Mus musculus: one gene and its partner. The protein of the gene in region 2 interacts with the protein of the main gene of each other region in a pairwise test. Links are inferred from orthologs where the notes say so. Each region holds a gene or a part of one and is shown on either strand. Other genes may lie near its edges.

Evidence for each region.
Region 1: the proteins of Ube2l6 (region 2) and Rnf144b interact in binary tests that used the Homo sapiens proteins (3 or more experiments, as listed by UniProt). The link is inferred for Mus musculus from reciprocal best matches to the Homo sapiens genes UBE2L6 and RNF144B.

The regions. Positions count from the first base shown.
Region 1 is NC_000079.6:47,237,269-47,245,192, forward strand, and holds part of Rnf144b (E3 ubiquitin-protein ligase RNF144B), read left to right. Parts: exon of another isoform or gene 1-26; intron 27-112; exon of another isoform or gene 113-134; coding exon 135-333; intron 334-2,448; coding exon 2,449-2,593; intron 2,594-5,595; coding exon 5,596-5,685; intron 5,686-7,092; coding exon 7,093-7,233; 3' UTR 7,234-7,924.
Region 2 is NC_000068.7:84,794,797-84,802,820, reverse strand, and holds the start of Ube2l6 (ubiquitin/ISG15-conjugating enzyme E2 L6), read right to left. Parts: upstream 3,994-8,024; 5' UTR 3,916-3,993; coding exon 3,889-3,915; intron 43-3,888; coding exon 1-42. UniProt on the Homo sapiens protein: Catalyzes the covalent attachment of ubiquitin or ISG15 to other proteins. Functions in the E6/E6-AP-induced ubiquitination of p53/TP53. Promotes ubiquitination and subsequent proteasomal degradation of FLT3.

The DNA of each region.
Region 1 (7,924 bases), on a different chromosome or scaffold from region 2:
CTGCTATTATTGCCATACTTGTTGGTCTATTAAACAAACAAACAAACAAAACCAGATAAACGGAGAGGGGAGGGGAGAAACTTTAATGCTCGGATTGGAGAAAGCCCCTCACCGTTTCCTCCTTTATGTTTCAGAGGTTCACATGGACCCCCTCCGGACATGGTGTCCTGTTGCAGACTGCCAGACCGTGTGCCATATTTCAGCCGGAGACCCAGGCCAGCCAGTGTTGGTGGAGTGCCCTTCTTGCCACCTGAAATTCTGCTCATGTTGCAAGGATGCTTGGCACGAGGAGTCTTCCTGTAGAGACAGCCAGTCGGCGATGCCAGAGCATGGGTAAGGGAGGAGGTGTGTCTGGGGCTGTTCCCAGTGTTCTTTTCAAACCCAGCATAAGCTGCTGTGAGAAGAAATTAGATGACTCTTAGACATTTACTGTAGAAATGCCTCAAGAAGAACGAGTAAGGTGGCCACAGGCACCAACCAGTACAGGATGTCTGAAAGGGATTCTAGCTCTTTATCCTAAGGGCACCTTCCAGATCATGGTGAGTCCATTCCCTTGGGGTAGAGAGGCATCAAGTTCTGTAGTTCCCATATGTATGTATGTGTGTATGTGTGTATGTATGTATGTATGTACATATATACATATATATATATATATATGTGTGTGTGTGTGTGTGTGTGTATATATATATATATATATATATTTGCTAAGAAGCCATGTTCAATGTACATGGTGTAGCCCATTCTTCCTGTTTAGAAAATAAGACGGCTGTGATCTTATCCCATTAAATGGCCTGTTCATTAGAGTATGCCGACCCCACAGAGTGCACAGACATATACACCGTCTTCCCAAATGCTTAGAAAACACAGGGAGATTCTCCCCTAATGCTTTATGCTATGAGAACTTGGCACCAGGGCTGAGATCTCGTTACAGGTGGAGAAGCAATTCAACCGCCGGGTGCCGTCTTGTATGGAAGGTTTTTATGGTGGCAGCCAGGAGCAGAGCTGGAGACCTTCGCGTTGGGTCCCATACTTTGCTGGAGGCTGTTCTGCACGAGCAAGAACAAAACAATCAGTATTCCCCCGCCAGTTGGCTTACTCACCCGGTGCCCTCAGAGCATGCAGAACTGGTCTTCAGGAACAATCACGCTGCCTGGCTATGGTGCCGTGCCTGGGTATCAGACGGAGCACAGAAAAAAAAGGAGTCTGTTCCACGCGCTGCCATGCGCCGTCCCCGTCAGATTTAAGGCAGGCCCTTCCATAGTGGTTAGCCCCAAGAGCTGGTTTAAGGGGCTCAGGAAAAGGGTAATCTGAGTTCTGATACTGTTCTTGGCATCCAAGCGGGCTCACGTAAGACATTCAGCCTCTTATGAGCCTGCATCCCCACTGGGAAAAGGGCATTAAATATTTTACTATATTGACTCTGTGTGTGTGTGTGTGTGTGTGTGTGTGTGTGTGTGTGTTTGTGTGTGTGTGTGTACATGTGTAGATAGACTGTGCTGTAAGTCATATGTAGATCTCAGAGGAAAACTTGTGAGAGTTTTTGGTTGGTTTTGTTTTGCTTTGCTTTGCTTTGCTTTGCTTTGCTTTGCTTTGCTTTGCTTTGCTTTGCTTTGCTTTGCTTTGCTTTGCTTTGCTTTGCTTTGCTTTGCTTTGCTTTGCTTTGCTTTGCTTTGCTTTGTTTTTTCCTTTCTCTACCTGGGTCCCAGGGGTTGAACTCAGATCAACAGGCTTGGCAGCAAGTCCCTTTACCTGCTGAGCCATCTCACCAGCCCAGAGGAGAATATTAAATCAGAAATAATGTCTCACTATGTAAGGATATCCCCAGCACCTCATCTGACCTAGATTTGTCCACATTTTGTAAACAGGGATGCTTCTGTGTGCTGGGTGGTGATTTTGATACCCAGTCACTGGTGTATAGTGGGGTACTCTGACTCCCTCCTATCCTGACTTGAACCACTTGGCTCTGTGTCCCTTTCTGCTGTGGTCACACACGGGCCTCTTCATCAACTTGGAGGAGGTCTTTCCAGTCATTGTTGGCATCTCTTTGAGTGTTGGATCTCTAGCTAAACCCCAGCCCTTACCCTTACTTAGCCATGCCGTCGTTACCTATACTGCATCTCATTTGGATCCTGAGCTGGCGTTTTCTCACAGTCTAGCTCCCTCTATGTACTTCTTATTTAGAGGCTGTGTGATTAGGGATGAAGTATTAATTTGGCAAAGCACTAAAAGCAGCCAGCTGTAGAAAGTGTAATTATATAATTCATTAGGAGCCAAAATAAATAAATTCCTTCTTATTGGGCTTTCTGAACAACTAATAATCCATGTCTCCCACACCTTTGGAAGTGAGTTAAACATGACAAACTGAGAGATTTCCTAACTAGCCACCCAACAGCCCTGGCCATCGCGCAGGTGACCCTGACTGAACACGTCTCATCTGTTTTGTCCTAGGGCTCTCTTTGGAACGGATGCGGACGCCCCCATCAAGCAGTGCCCGGTTTGCCGCATTTACATTGAGCGCAACGAAGGCTGCGCCCAGATGATGTGCAAGAACTGCAAGCACACATTTTGCTGGTACTGTCTGCAGAACCTGGACGTGAGTTCTCCATGGAAGGGGCTTGTCATTACCTTTGCTGTGTCTGTGCCACTGTCTGAGCCAGCCGCACAGTCCTTCCCTTTAGCAATGGGGCCTCTTACTATCCTGCAAAAGGAATTTTTTTTTTTGAGATTCCCTGAGCCCAACTTGTCCTTCCTAACCTCCCTGTCCTTCTTCTCCCCTCCCTGTTTCTCTGACCTCTGCTCACTTCCTCCTCCCCTTTGTTTTTGTTGGTTTCATGGGCCTTGGACTCAATCATTGTGAGCGCTAGTCGAGCACCTTGCTGCCGAGTCACAGCCCATCCCCGTTGCTACTTCAGACACCATGAAACCTCTGTGTGTCGTCATAGCTTTCAGACATATTTTTGTCTGAAATGTTTTTGGGACATTTTTGTGCTCTAGAGGAAATTATCTCTATTGTGTAAATAGCTGTCTAAGTGTTTGCTTTATACCGTTGTAACAAATGGTCACAAACGTTCTGGCTTAAAACAGCAGAGAATTAGTGTCTATGTCGTACCTTAGCAGCCTGATGTGATATATATATATAACTGGATCATGATCCTGACAGGGCTGGAGTGCTGCTGTCTGAAGATGCTGGATGAGAATCCATGTCTTTGCTCCTCTGTCTCCTAGAGATGGGGTTGCTTGCGTAGCTAGGCTCATCACGTCTCTCTGATCTCCTCGTGGTCCTCATTCCCGCTGACCACAGGCAGGATGCATTTCCTCTCGATAAAGAACCATGAAATGAGATGGGAGCCATTGCAACCACCAAGGGTAACCTCCCCCACGTCCAGGTCCTTCACATAGTGACATATGCAGACAGTTACTGGAGACTCCGCCACGTGTGTCTCCAAGGGGGCATTCTGCCTATTGCGATCAGAAAGGCTGTTCTGGTGGCTGGCGTGACAGGGAAGCCCTGCTGCCTTGCCACTTACTACTAGATCCTGACGCCTGTCTGTTGCTTAGTCTCCTTCTCCACCCAAGAGTGTGTCTTCCCAAATTCTGCCAAAGTGAACAGTGATCTCAGCTGTGGGACGGTGGGTAACAAGGGTGTCCTCCAGTCTCAGTCTTTTAAAGTTTGAGGTGGCACAAGCTGTTTACGGATACCCCTGTCTGAAGCTATAATGTGTGTTCATATTGGTGTAAGACCTCAGTCACGCTCGTCTTCGGTAGGGTTTCTATTGCTGTGATGGAACACCACAGACATTCGGAGAGGGAGGAAAGGGTTTATTCAGCTTACTCTCCCACATCATCAGGCGAAGTCAGGGCAGGAATTCACGAGAGACAGGGATCTGGAGCCAGGAGCTGATGCAGAAGCCATGGCAGGGCGCTGCTTACTGACTGGCTTGCTCCTCATGGCTTGCTCAGCCTGCTTTCTTATAGAATGCAGGACTGCCACCCCAACGGTGGCACCATCAAGGGCCGGTCCTTCCCATGATCAATCACTAATTAAGGAAGTACCCGCACAGGCTTACCTACTGCCAGATTCTGTATAGGCATATTCTCAGATGAGGGCATTGGCTTGTGGGGCAGTGTCACCTCGGGCTTTTCCACCTGCACCCCAGTTCCTAAATAAACACCCCAGGGGCTTATTTATGTATGAATAAAGTAAGCTTGGGCTGGCAGCTTACCAACCCATTTATTCTATTCTATGTCTGCCACACGGCTAGTTACCACTCCTCAGTGTCATACATCAGACTTCCTCAGAGTCCAGGGCAAATCTTCCTGCGCCTGACTAACTAACTCCCAGAGTTCCTATCTCTTCACTGGAAACCCCACCTTCTGCTTCCCACCTTTTGCTAGCAGGCCATCAATTTTTTGTTGACAGGTGATGCTTCCACACAGCACACAAGGGAGTCTCTCTACAGGGCCGTGTTCTATGCCACATGGTATTGATGTGTTTGTAGGAAGGTTGAGAACCTGGGACAGAGAAAGGGGGATTGTTTTTCTAAAGCCCAAGCCTGAGACAGCCCCAAACGGAGACTGAGTGTGCTGGGCATTGTGTTTGCGCCTGGCTTCATGTTCAGCCATGCAGTGTCAGAGGCCAAGATGGAGCCTCAGGGACTTGTCACCTTCAGTTGTCTTCTCTCTTCCGTGTGATCTCAACTTCTCTTGTACGCCTTTGCCATTTCGTTCTGTCTGTCGTGTGCTGTTTCCAGGTGGAGCCGGTCTCTTCTCAAGCTGACCAGTCGTCCTCTCCCTGATTACTCTCCCTCTTCTTCACAAGCCAAGCTTCCATTGAACCCAGTTGCCTCTCGCTGTTGATATCCGCCTTCCTCCAGTTAGCACTGGGCACTCAAGTGACCATGCGGCCATATCCTGACCGTATACTTCCCAATATCCCAAGATTTTGATATCTTGGCCAGCTGCCATTTCTCCTAGCTCCTCTGACCTCACCTTTCTGGCTGTCCCTCAGTGTCTTTTCCAGACTCCTTGTCTGTTCGTGTCTTCCCTGAACAAATCTGCTCCTCAGTCCACTTTTCTTCTACACAAGCTTATTCAGTTCTGTGATACTCGCCCCACCCCCATTTTATGTAAACTGATATTCAGGCCCCTCCTTCGAAGACCAGGTATAAGTAATGATCTGCCTCTGGGTGTGTTGTTTGGATGTCAAGTTCAGCACGTCCATCTTTACCCACAAGTCCATCTCTGGGTTATTTCTTTTCTTTCTCCTCAGTAGTTTTCCTATAATTCCTGTTCCTGCTTCCTCATTTAGTGTATTACTCTCTTTCTACCTCGTGACTGGCTTCCCCTGTCAGTCGCTGGCATTGGTCACACCAGGCTTGCTCCTGACTTATGGTTCTCCCATTCCATTGCACACCTCTGCCGGAGCTCACCGTCCCTTACCTGCCTGAGATGGTGGAGCAGGTCATTCCTTGTTCTTTTGCCCCTGTCAGGATTCCTAGAGGAAGTCACTGATAGCATCAGGCGAACTGCACACTTGATGCTCACCTCTCCACCCTACATTGTGTGATGACTGAAACTCCTCTCTTTGTTTTTCAGAATGACATATTCCTCAGGCACTATGACAAAGGGCCATGCAGGAATAAGCTCGGCCACTCGAGGGCATCGGTAATGTGGAACCGAACACAGGTAGGCTCCACCTTAAGGGAACGTGAGATTCATTGGACTTGGGATGGCTTTCCTTGCTTTCCCATGCCCTCCTGGGAGGTTCTGGGAGGAGGAGGAGGAGAGAGAGAACAATGGAGCTGTGGCCTGAAGTTAAGTCAAGAGCACAATTGTTGAGGGACAGAGGCACCAGAGAGCAGAACGTTAGGGTGACCAGCCAAAGAACATACCCCTGTTCTTTGCTCTTGCAAAACATGGGAGGAGTTTCCTACAAGCAGTTAGAGCATATTAAGCATCAAAGCAGAGTCTCCAATGCTGTGGGCTCCTGCAGGGCCTCAGATCCCTCAGTACATGCCATTGTGTGTTTATGTGGCAGGTTCAAAGAGAATCGTGGTTTGTTTTTTAATAGTGTTTTGTGTTTATCAAAGGCTACGCTTCCTTTGAAGAAACCAATGCTCACATCCTAACGATGATCATTATTAATGCCCCTGTGAGACTGTTGAGGAAGCCCCAATAGAGAACGAGCCAACAGCCACAGCTCAGAGTTTAGAGTTTATGGTTCAGCTTGTGTTAACATTTGGTTTGCTCTCACCCTCGATGTAGTCCTTTGTAGTTTGTGTCCAGCGATGTCATTGCTAAAATTGCCTGAGACAGTATCCTAGCCATTCACCTAACAGATTATCATAGCCTGGGTGACTGAAACAGCTGAGATGATTCATCCTTGTCCTGGCTGCTGGCAGTCTGAGGACCAGGTATCAGCGTGGGCAGGGTCTGCGAATGGGTCCTTGTGTTGGTTGCTTGTCTCAGGACTTAGAGAAGCAGGGGCATAATTTGGCTCATGGTTTGAAGGGATACAGTCTGTCCTGACCGCGAGGGCATGGCAGAGTTCATGGTGGTAGGAACTTGAGGTCGGGACTCCTCATGTCTCAGCAGAACAGGAGTCAGGGAGAGAGGATAGGATAGCATTGGTCTGCCTTTCTTCTTTTTAAAATTTTGTTATTCAGTCAGTCCAATGCCCAGCTTATGGAACATCATCACGAGTCTTCCCTCCCCAGTTAGCCCTGCCTGGAAATGTCCCCCTCCACGCAGAGGTGTGCCTCTTAGATGACTCTGAATCCAGAACAGTTGGCCGTGAAGGTTACACTCACAGCATTCTTCCCAGTTCATAGATGACAGCTTTCTCACCGTGTTCTCCCATGCTAGAAAGCTAAGAATGGAGGCAAGCTCTTGGGCTCCCAAGTGTCACCAGGGTCTCACAGTGTCACCCAGGGCTCCCCACTCCAAGTGCCATCGCACTGAGTATTAGGGTTTCGACAGGCATGGCAGGGTGGGCACAGCATCCAGACTGTAGAGGCTGTTGTTACACTTGGGGGAATGTATACATCTCAGATGACATACCTGCTGACATAGGGTTTTCTCTTCAATTTCCAGGTAGTGGGGATCCTTGTGGGATTAGGTGTCATTGCCTTGGTGACCTCACCCTTGCTGCTCCTGGCCTCTCCCTGTATAATCTGCTGTGTCTGCAAGTCCTGTCGCGGCAAGAAGAAAAAGCATGATCCATCCACAACCTAAAGTCACCTGCGCAGACATCCGGGTCACATGAGACAGCACATTGGTAAAAGCCCCACTTAGCAGCCTTGCCTCCTTCTCCTTGCCAAACTTTGGAAGTGCCTCTGCCCAGACTTTGAACCTACCTGAAAGCATTCGGTGTTGGAAAAGGCCACGCACCGGGGCATGAGTGTGCCTGTGTATCAAGAAGCAGCCCCACAGTCCGGACTGTGTCTGTGGAGCAGGTTGGGAACTTTGCTTTAGCCTGGGAGACTCTAAAACATCACCATCTTACCCTCCAAAGGATCCCACCAGGCTGCTCATCTTCCATCCAAACCAAGGAGCCTGGGTGAATACTCACTGTAGTCATGGCGGTATTGCCGCACTTGGCAGCATTGCAAACTGAGCAAACGTCTGTGTTGGTTCCACTGCCACAAGACACATGGCAGAGGCCCAGAGCCGGAGGGAAGGATGATACTGCATAATAACACGTTCTGTGAGCAGTGGAGCCGCTGCTTATCTCAGGAGCTGACACACTGACTGGCATGCCTATGCTGGCTACCGCGTGTGCACTTCTTAGCGTTTCCACAGTGACTTGGCAGAAACATAGCAGCTCTCTCCCCGTGTGATCTCATCTCCAGGCAGGAGAAACTGCCGTTCAGAGGGAGTTGTCCCTTCCCAGGAAGAGGTTGTAACTTGTAAGGCAACATGGCCT
Region 2 (8,024 bases):
GCGAAGGTATGGCGGCAGCTCCTTCGAAAGACTCTCCAGCTCCTGTAGGGATCACAGCAAGGGTAGTAAGCCAAGTGCTCACAAATGCAGCCCCACCGCAGCAGCCCCACCTCGAGCCCAAACAGGAGATCCTAGGAGCAGAAAAAGAAAAGACAGAGACCCAACTTAGGGAGCGCTTAGCTGGTGTGAGACCCAGTACTGAGCGATGAATGAATGACCTGATTTCAGCCTCACCACAACCCTGTAGGCCCCAGTGTAAGGATTGGGTGGCCTCAAATATTCTCTCAAATATTAAGAACTCCGGGGGTAAGTAAATTCTTCTAGGAGCCTTCTTTCTGAAGGCAAGGTACTCAGTCCTCTTGCCCTTTCTCTAGAAAACTCACTGAGTCCTACTTCATCCCTCTCTCTTCAGTAATATGTGAGTTTTCAGCACTGGCAGAATGAACGGCAGAGACATCACGCATCCATCATCACCACCACCTTAGGGTGATCCAGGCTTCCCAGGTGAGAAACTGCACATCACCCATGGTAACTAGGGGACGAGAAGTGACACACCTTCTCAGAAATGTGGCTTAATCACCAGAGATCCCTGAGTTCTCTCAAGAGCAGTCTACTGAACATCGCTGGCTGACCCTTGACTAAGACAGAGTGCAGCCTCAAGAACGCCTTTGGAGTAATGGAGGGAACGAATCCAAGGCCATGAATAGTGTGAATGGCACATAACCAGGAAGGAGGAGAGTGGGAACACTCCACAGAGACTGTGTGCTGTGCTCAGAGATGGCTCTTGAAGAGTAGGTAGGAGCCCACCAGGCAGAAAAACAGGGAGCAAAGACAGAGAGCCCAGACAGGACAAGCATGTGCAGGTCCCCATGGAACACTAATAGCTACTATAGGAAAAGGGCTTTATGGCTAAGAACATTTGGGAAAGCTGAGTTAAATGGCTTCTTCACTGCAGAGCAACTCAAAGGTTTTGGGTTTGGTTTGGTTTGGTTTGGTTTGGTTATTGCAGTAGTGGAGATGGGACCAAGGACCTTGAGCAAGATAGGTGGTGCCCTACACCACACTCCCAGCACACTCAGGGTCCCCATTATACCATGGTGCATCTGACCAAGGGACCTCACCCACAGGACTCCAGTTCTTCTCATTTTGAGAAGGGGGTGGTGGTTTGAAAAACAGTCACATATTCAAGGCAACGCTGGGGACAATGAATAGATACAAACTAGTGGTTCTGATCCAGGGATGTGTTTACCTATCAGGACGCCTTTGCCAATATCTAGAAACGTTTTCTATTGTCACAGATGGGGTGAGTGCTGCCACAACCCAGCGGGTAAAGTCCACGCTGATGAAACATCCTAGCTACAGAGAATGATCTGGTCCCAAATGTCAACAGAGAGAAAGTTGAGAAAGGCCTGTGTACATGCAGGTAGAAAGTTCCCCTAAGCCAGGGGCTTGGGGGTGGGGTCCTTCACTGCTGTGCATCATCTGTACTCTGACCCCCAAGTATATAAGCACGCCACACTCCCATTCATCACTAAACCCATCTTCCATATGTAATCACACTAACAAATGGCTTCTCATGCCTTCTACCTACAGCCATGACCATTCATTGCCTATTCTATCTTACCACAAGCATAACCCATGCCATAGCTTGGGCAAGAACAAAGGCTTAGGTATAACATAGATCTTGAATGGACATTTTTCTGGGCTGAAGATGCAGCTCAGTTGGTAGAGTGTTTGTCTAGCGTGCACAAAACCCTGGGTTCAATCCTCAGCACTGTACAACACTTGATAAAGCAGTGCACATCCATGATCCCATGTCTTAGGGAATGAGATGGAGGCATAAGAATCCTGAAATTAAGCTGGTGAGATGGCTCAGTGGGGAGGTGCACTTGTTGATCTTCCAGAGGACTTGGGTTCAATTCCCAGCACCCACATGGTGACTGATGACTGTCTCTAGCCCCAGTTCCAGAAGATCTAATGCTCTCATTTGCTTCTGCTAGGCATGCAGGTAGTTAACAGATATATATGCAGGCAGGACATCCATACACATAAAATTAAATTAAATGATTTTTTAAAAATTAAAGGCCATTGTTAGCTGCATATCAAGTTTAAGACCAATCTGAACAACACAAAATGGTATTAAAAAAAAGTACCGAAGGGAAATTTTCTCTCTTAACACTTGAATTTTCTGTGTTTTGATGAATTCTGACGAACTTTCCATGATTGCTGAAACCCACACCAGTGCACACAGCTCCTCCCAAAGCCAGCTAGTAAGTCACCTGACTTAGGAGAAATGAAAGTGAAGGCAAACAGGCAGGAAAAGCCCTGTGAGTTAGACTCTTATCAGTCTGGGCTCAAATTCCAGCCCCATTACTTCTGCAGAATATCACTGGCCAGCCACGTTACTCTCCCTGATGTCTCAGTTTCCTCTTCCATGAAATGGGAAGACACAGTTATCTCACAGTTGTTCTAAGAGTTAAATAAAACAAACTGCCTGGTGCTGACAATTCCGGAGCAACAAAAGCCAGTCTACCTTTTAGCGTTGAGGTAGCAAATTACCCTTTGCCCCATTTAGTACCAGCCTAAAACCAACAAAGTTTAGTTCTGTTTTGGGTCTGCTCTGGACTTCTCCATCTCAAAAGAATTTTCTTTTTGAAAGATGAGGCCAGCTGGGTGGCACACGCCTTTAATCCCAGCACTGGGGAGGCAGAGGCAGGCGGATTTCTGAGTTCGAGGCCAGCCTGGTCTACAAAGTGAGTTCCAGGACAGCCAGGGAAACCCTGTCTCGGAAAGAAAGAAGGAAAGAAAGAAAGAAAGAAAGAAAGAAAGAAAGAAAGAAAGAAAGAAAGAAAGAAAGAAAGAAAGAAAGGGAGAGAGAGAGAGAGAGAGAGAGAGAGAGAGAGAGAGAGAGAGAGAGAGAGAGAAACATGAGGCCAGCAACCATCCCTTCTGTCTCCTGAGGAAGCCTTCCCCTCAATTCTGCAGACTAGAGGAGCACTTCGGGGAGACTCAAAGCCTAGCGGTACCAGCCCTGGCTCACGAGCATTTCTCCTCCACGATCTCTAATCCTGGCTCCATTCAGCGGTCTAGACATTCCTAAGGAAACTGCCCTTTTTTCATTCTTTCAGATAGTACCAAATAGTGTCTCATAGAAATGAACGTTCAAACGGAACAAGATTTCTGTTCCTTTTCTGCTCCTGCTGCCTGGCACTGGGCTAGTACAAAGTAGGCGTTTAGTAGCTGGAGCAGGACTGCATACAAATAACCTACTCAGAGCATAAATTGTTACTTCTCATCCAGGAACTAGTCTGTACGTTTTATTTCACGGTCTGTCCATTCACCACCCCACCGCCCAACATCACTCTTCTGTGGCCTCGGGTAATGTAGGTATCAAATTATGGGTGTATCCACTAGGCGGAGCAACAGAGCCCTTCCTGTGCCTTAGATAAGTTCCACTAATAAATTTCCAGCAGAAATTGAAAATGAAACCAGTTTGGAAAGCCCAATACATTGGAAACCATTTGGAAAGACCAGTTCATTCTCGTGGCCAGTACAGCTGATGACAACTTTTTTTGAAGCTGATGACAACTTTTTTTTCCAGACCTTCTCAATCAGGCCCCCTCCCTTCCTCCTCTCTTTCTCCCTCCTTCTCGCGCGCGCGCGCGCGCACACACACACACACACACACACACACACACACACCGCGCCTTTCTCCTCCCATTTCTCCATTGGGAAAAGGTGAGGATACCTGAGTTTCAGCCAGCCCTGGTACCCAAATAACAAAAAAAGCTCAGAGAGCAAGGGGGCAGGGGAGGGTTAGGGCAGGGCGGAAAGGTTAGGGCAGGGCGGGAAGGGGCACAAGGAAAGGGTCATCCTACATAGGCTTACTTTCGCCACTCGCTTGCTGGCCATCATCTCGGGTTGGAGCGTGGGGCACCAGCAGATTCCAGCAGGACACCGCTCTCTGAACTGCAGCTCCCGAGCCCCGCCCACGCTCCACTCCACCCACACCGACTCTAGCTGCAAAGACCTGCTCCCCACCCCTTTGGTGGATATCTGGAGGCTGCAGTCGAGTGCCCAGCTTGGCGATCTCGTATCTCAGCAACTCATGCTCCTTGCAGATCAGAGACTACGTCGGTGGAGCGCACTGCTCCTCTTGGTTCCTGCATCTTGCGGGGTACATCTCGTAGAAGCCAGGATGGGATTCATCTCCAGCCTCTGTCAGCTCCCCGGACGCTGAGAGCAAACTCGCCCAAAGCACAGATGAGATACTCTTGATGCAAAGTAGCTCCGGGGCAGGGCTCTCTGCGACCTCCGCAATGGAATTGTGAACCTACCACCTCTAAAGAAAGTCTCAGAATCCTGGGCCAAGTCACTTTGCCTTTGTGGGTTCAGTGCTCCGTTCTAAAAGAGAGTGGGGGGGGGGGGGTCAGTATAGACTTTATGTCCTCCGAGGACCGCTCCCTGAGTGGTACAGTCCAGCAGATGGGCAGAAACGCAGCGATGCTTCTTTTAGGTTGCTTGGTGCCCGAGCACCACTAGAGGACGCTGTTGGACTCATTCGCTTTTATTTTGGGCGTTCTGTGTTTTACTCTACTGAACACATAGAAAGTGTCTGCTGTGTGGCAATTTGGGAAAACGATGGGTGGCTGAAGCCTCGAGATAGATTTCAGGAGCCTATTATATTTTATCACCAACTGATTACAAACTATGGAACTACTGTGTGTCCAAATGAACAGCCAAGAAGTCTCTAGCCCTCTGCGCAAGAGTAAAGACCCCCCTCATCCCAGCTCAAGTCGAGGCCAAGGTGTAATAGCAGCCCCCAGCCTCTGGAAGAAGTTCTAGAGTTAGAAGGGAATCCACCTACCTGCCTCACCCATTCCAGCCCAGAAATTAGCATATTTTGAAGCCCAAGATTTTGACCCAGTAGGTCACATGATTTTTATTTTCCTGTCCAGGAACCAAATATCTGCTCTGCTTACATATAGGATGTGCTTGAAAAATGATTCTGGGGCTGGAGAGATGGCTCAGCAGTTAAGAGCATTGACTGCTATTACAGAGGTACTGAATTCAAATCCCAGTAACCACATGGTGGCTCACAACCATCTGAAATGAGATCTGACGCCCTCTTCTGGTGTGTCTGAAGACAGCTACAGTGTACTTACATATAGTAAATAAAGTAAATCTTGAAAAAGAAAAAAAGATTCTGGGTTCTTTTTTCAGTTCAATAACTTTAACCAGATACCTTCTAAATGCCAGCAATAAGCAGGACACCATCAGCAATCCCTAAATATAGTTTGGAGATAAGGGCATTTGAACCCATTTCTGGTTAGTAGTCTTAGTTAACACCAAGTGCCAGGTACTATCGATGGAACACATCAGATGGAGAAATTGTGGTGTTTGTCCTCTGAGGGGCTCTCAAGCAGTTGAAACACAGAGAGAAAATTTCCCTTCAGTATTTTTTACTTATTTATTTATTTATTTATTTATTTTCTATATATGAATAAATTGTAGCTATCTTCAGACACACCAGAAGAGGGCACCAGATCTCATTACAGATGGTTGTGAGCCACCATGTGGTTGCTGGGAATTGAACTTAGGACCTCTGGAAGAGCAGTCAGTGCTCTTAACAATTGAGCCATCTCTCCAGCCCCAGTATTTTTTTTTTAAATACCATTTTGTGTTGTTCAGATTGGTCTTAAACTTGATATGCAGCTAACAATGGCCTTTAATTTTTTAAAAATCATTTAATTTAATTTTATGTGTATGGATTCCTGCCTGCATATATATCTGTTAACTACCTGCATGCCTAGCAGAAGCAAATGAGAGCATTAGATCTTCTGGAACTGGGGCTAGAGACAGTCATCAGTCACCATGTGGGTGCTGGGAATTGAACCCAAGTCCTCTGGTCCTCTGGAAGATCAACAAGTGCACCTCCCCACTGAGCCATCTCACCAGCTGAACCTTTAATTTCAGGATTCTTATGCCTCCGTCTCATACCCTAAGACATGGGATCATGGATGTGCACTGCTTTATCAAGTGTTGTGCAGTGCTGAGGATTGAACCCAGGGTTTTGTGCACGCTAGACAAACACTCTACCAACTGAGCTGCATCTTCAGCCCAGAAAAATGTCCATTCAAGATCTGTGTTATACCTAAGCCTTTGTTCTTGCCCAAGCTATGGCATGGGTTATGCTTGTGGTAAGATAGAATAGGCAATGAATGGTCATGGCTGTAGGTAGAAGGCATGAGAAGCCATTTGTTAGTGTGATTACATATGGAAGATGGGTTTAGTGATGAAAGGGAGTGTGGGGTGCTTATATACTTGGGGGACAGAGTACAGATGATGCACAGCAGTGAAGGACCCCACTCCCAAGCCCCTGGCTTAGGGGAACTTTCTACCTGCGTGTACACAGGCCTTTCTCAACTTTCTCTCTGTTGACATTTGGGACCTGATCATTCTCTGTAGCTAGGATGTTTCATCAGCGTGGACTTTACCCGCTGGGTTGTGGCAGCACTCACCCCATCTGTGACAATAGAAAACGTTTCTAGATATTGGCAAAGGCGTCCTGATAGGTAAACACATCCCTGGATCAGAACCACTAGTTTGTATCTATTCATTGTCCCCAGAGTTGCCTTGAATATGTGACTGTTTTTCAAACCACCACCACCTTCTCAAAATGAGAATGATTCCGGAGCAACAAAAGCCAGTCTACCTTTAGCGTTGAGGTGTGTAGTTCTTTGAGTATGTAGTCCTGACTGGCCTGGAACTTGTTGGTGAACCAGGCTGACCTAGAACTCAGAGATCTGCCTGCCTCTGCCTACCAAGTGGTGGGATTAAAGGTGTGTGGCACTGTGGGAACTAAAAGGGGGACAGGGAAAAGAGGGGAGAGGGAGGATAGCCCATGCCTGGCCAGAGTTCCTCCTATGCTCTGAGGAGGAGGACGCAGGAGGGCAGCCAGATGCTTTCCACTTGGCCCTGAAAGAAAGAAAACTAAATTCAAGATTTCAAAACCCTAGCCAGAAAGTTTATTCAAGGTCCATGACTCATGTGGCTTGCTAGATAGGAGGGCTTTTTGGGCCTAGAGCAAAGAACAAAGGCTGTAAAGTCATCCCAGGAACCAACTAGCCATAAAGATAGGGAAGACATACAAGAATGTCCGGACTGGCCTGGCGCCTCCCTATCTCCCGCCCTTCTGACCTGAGTTAAATGATAACCAGATGCTCTGCTGTTATCTCAATCTGTGTGTACAGTCTGCCGATGTTTAAATGAACCAATCATGTGAAACCGTGCCTCCCCCAGACCCAGACCCTTTTCTATAAAAAACCCCAGCCACGTAGTCAAATCCACTGTCTCCTGCGTGAGATATGTTTCAACCCAGAGCTCCACCATTAAACTACCTCATGTATTTACATCAAGATGGTCTTTTCATGATTCTTTGGGTGCACACCGGGAATTGAGTGGGGGTTTCCCCACTAGGTTCTTTTAGCCCCAGGTGGGCATCTAAACCACCGACCCCACTCAACGAGGGGTAGACAAGGGGCAGCCCCCGGGGCCCCTGGGGTTATGGGAGAGAGGTTCCCACGCAGGCAAGAGTAAGAGCAGCAGGCCTTGATGAACAGAGACAGTCTATGGTTTTAGAGCTTTATTGTAGTAAGGCAGGGGGAAAGAGAGAAGGTAAAAGAGAGAGAGAGACTGACCATGGCCAAGAGGATAGAAGGGGGAAAAGGAGAGAGAGAGAAGAAAGGCTAGAGAGTAAGAGGGAGAGAGGGTAAGAGGGAGAGAAGAGAGGAGAGGAGAGGACAAGGAGAGAGAGAGGGGAGAGTAAGGGGAGTAAGAGCAAGAGAGTGAGGTGGGGCCAAGTTGCCACTCTTATGGTCTGCTGTTATCTTTACTGTTGCTCGGTAACTAGGGAGGAGTTTAGCCTGAAGGTCAGAAGCTTGGGACATTGTCTACGTGAATAAAATCCATGCTTCTCCTGTGGGGGCTGTGGGGGTCAATAACTTCGACAGGAGCCAGGGTTC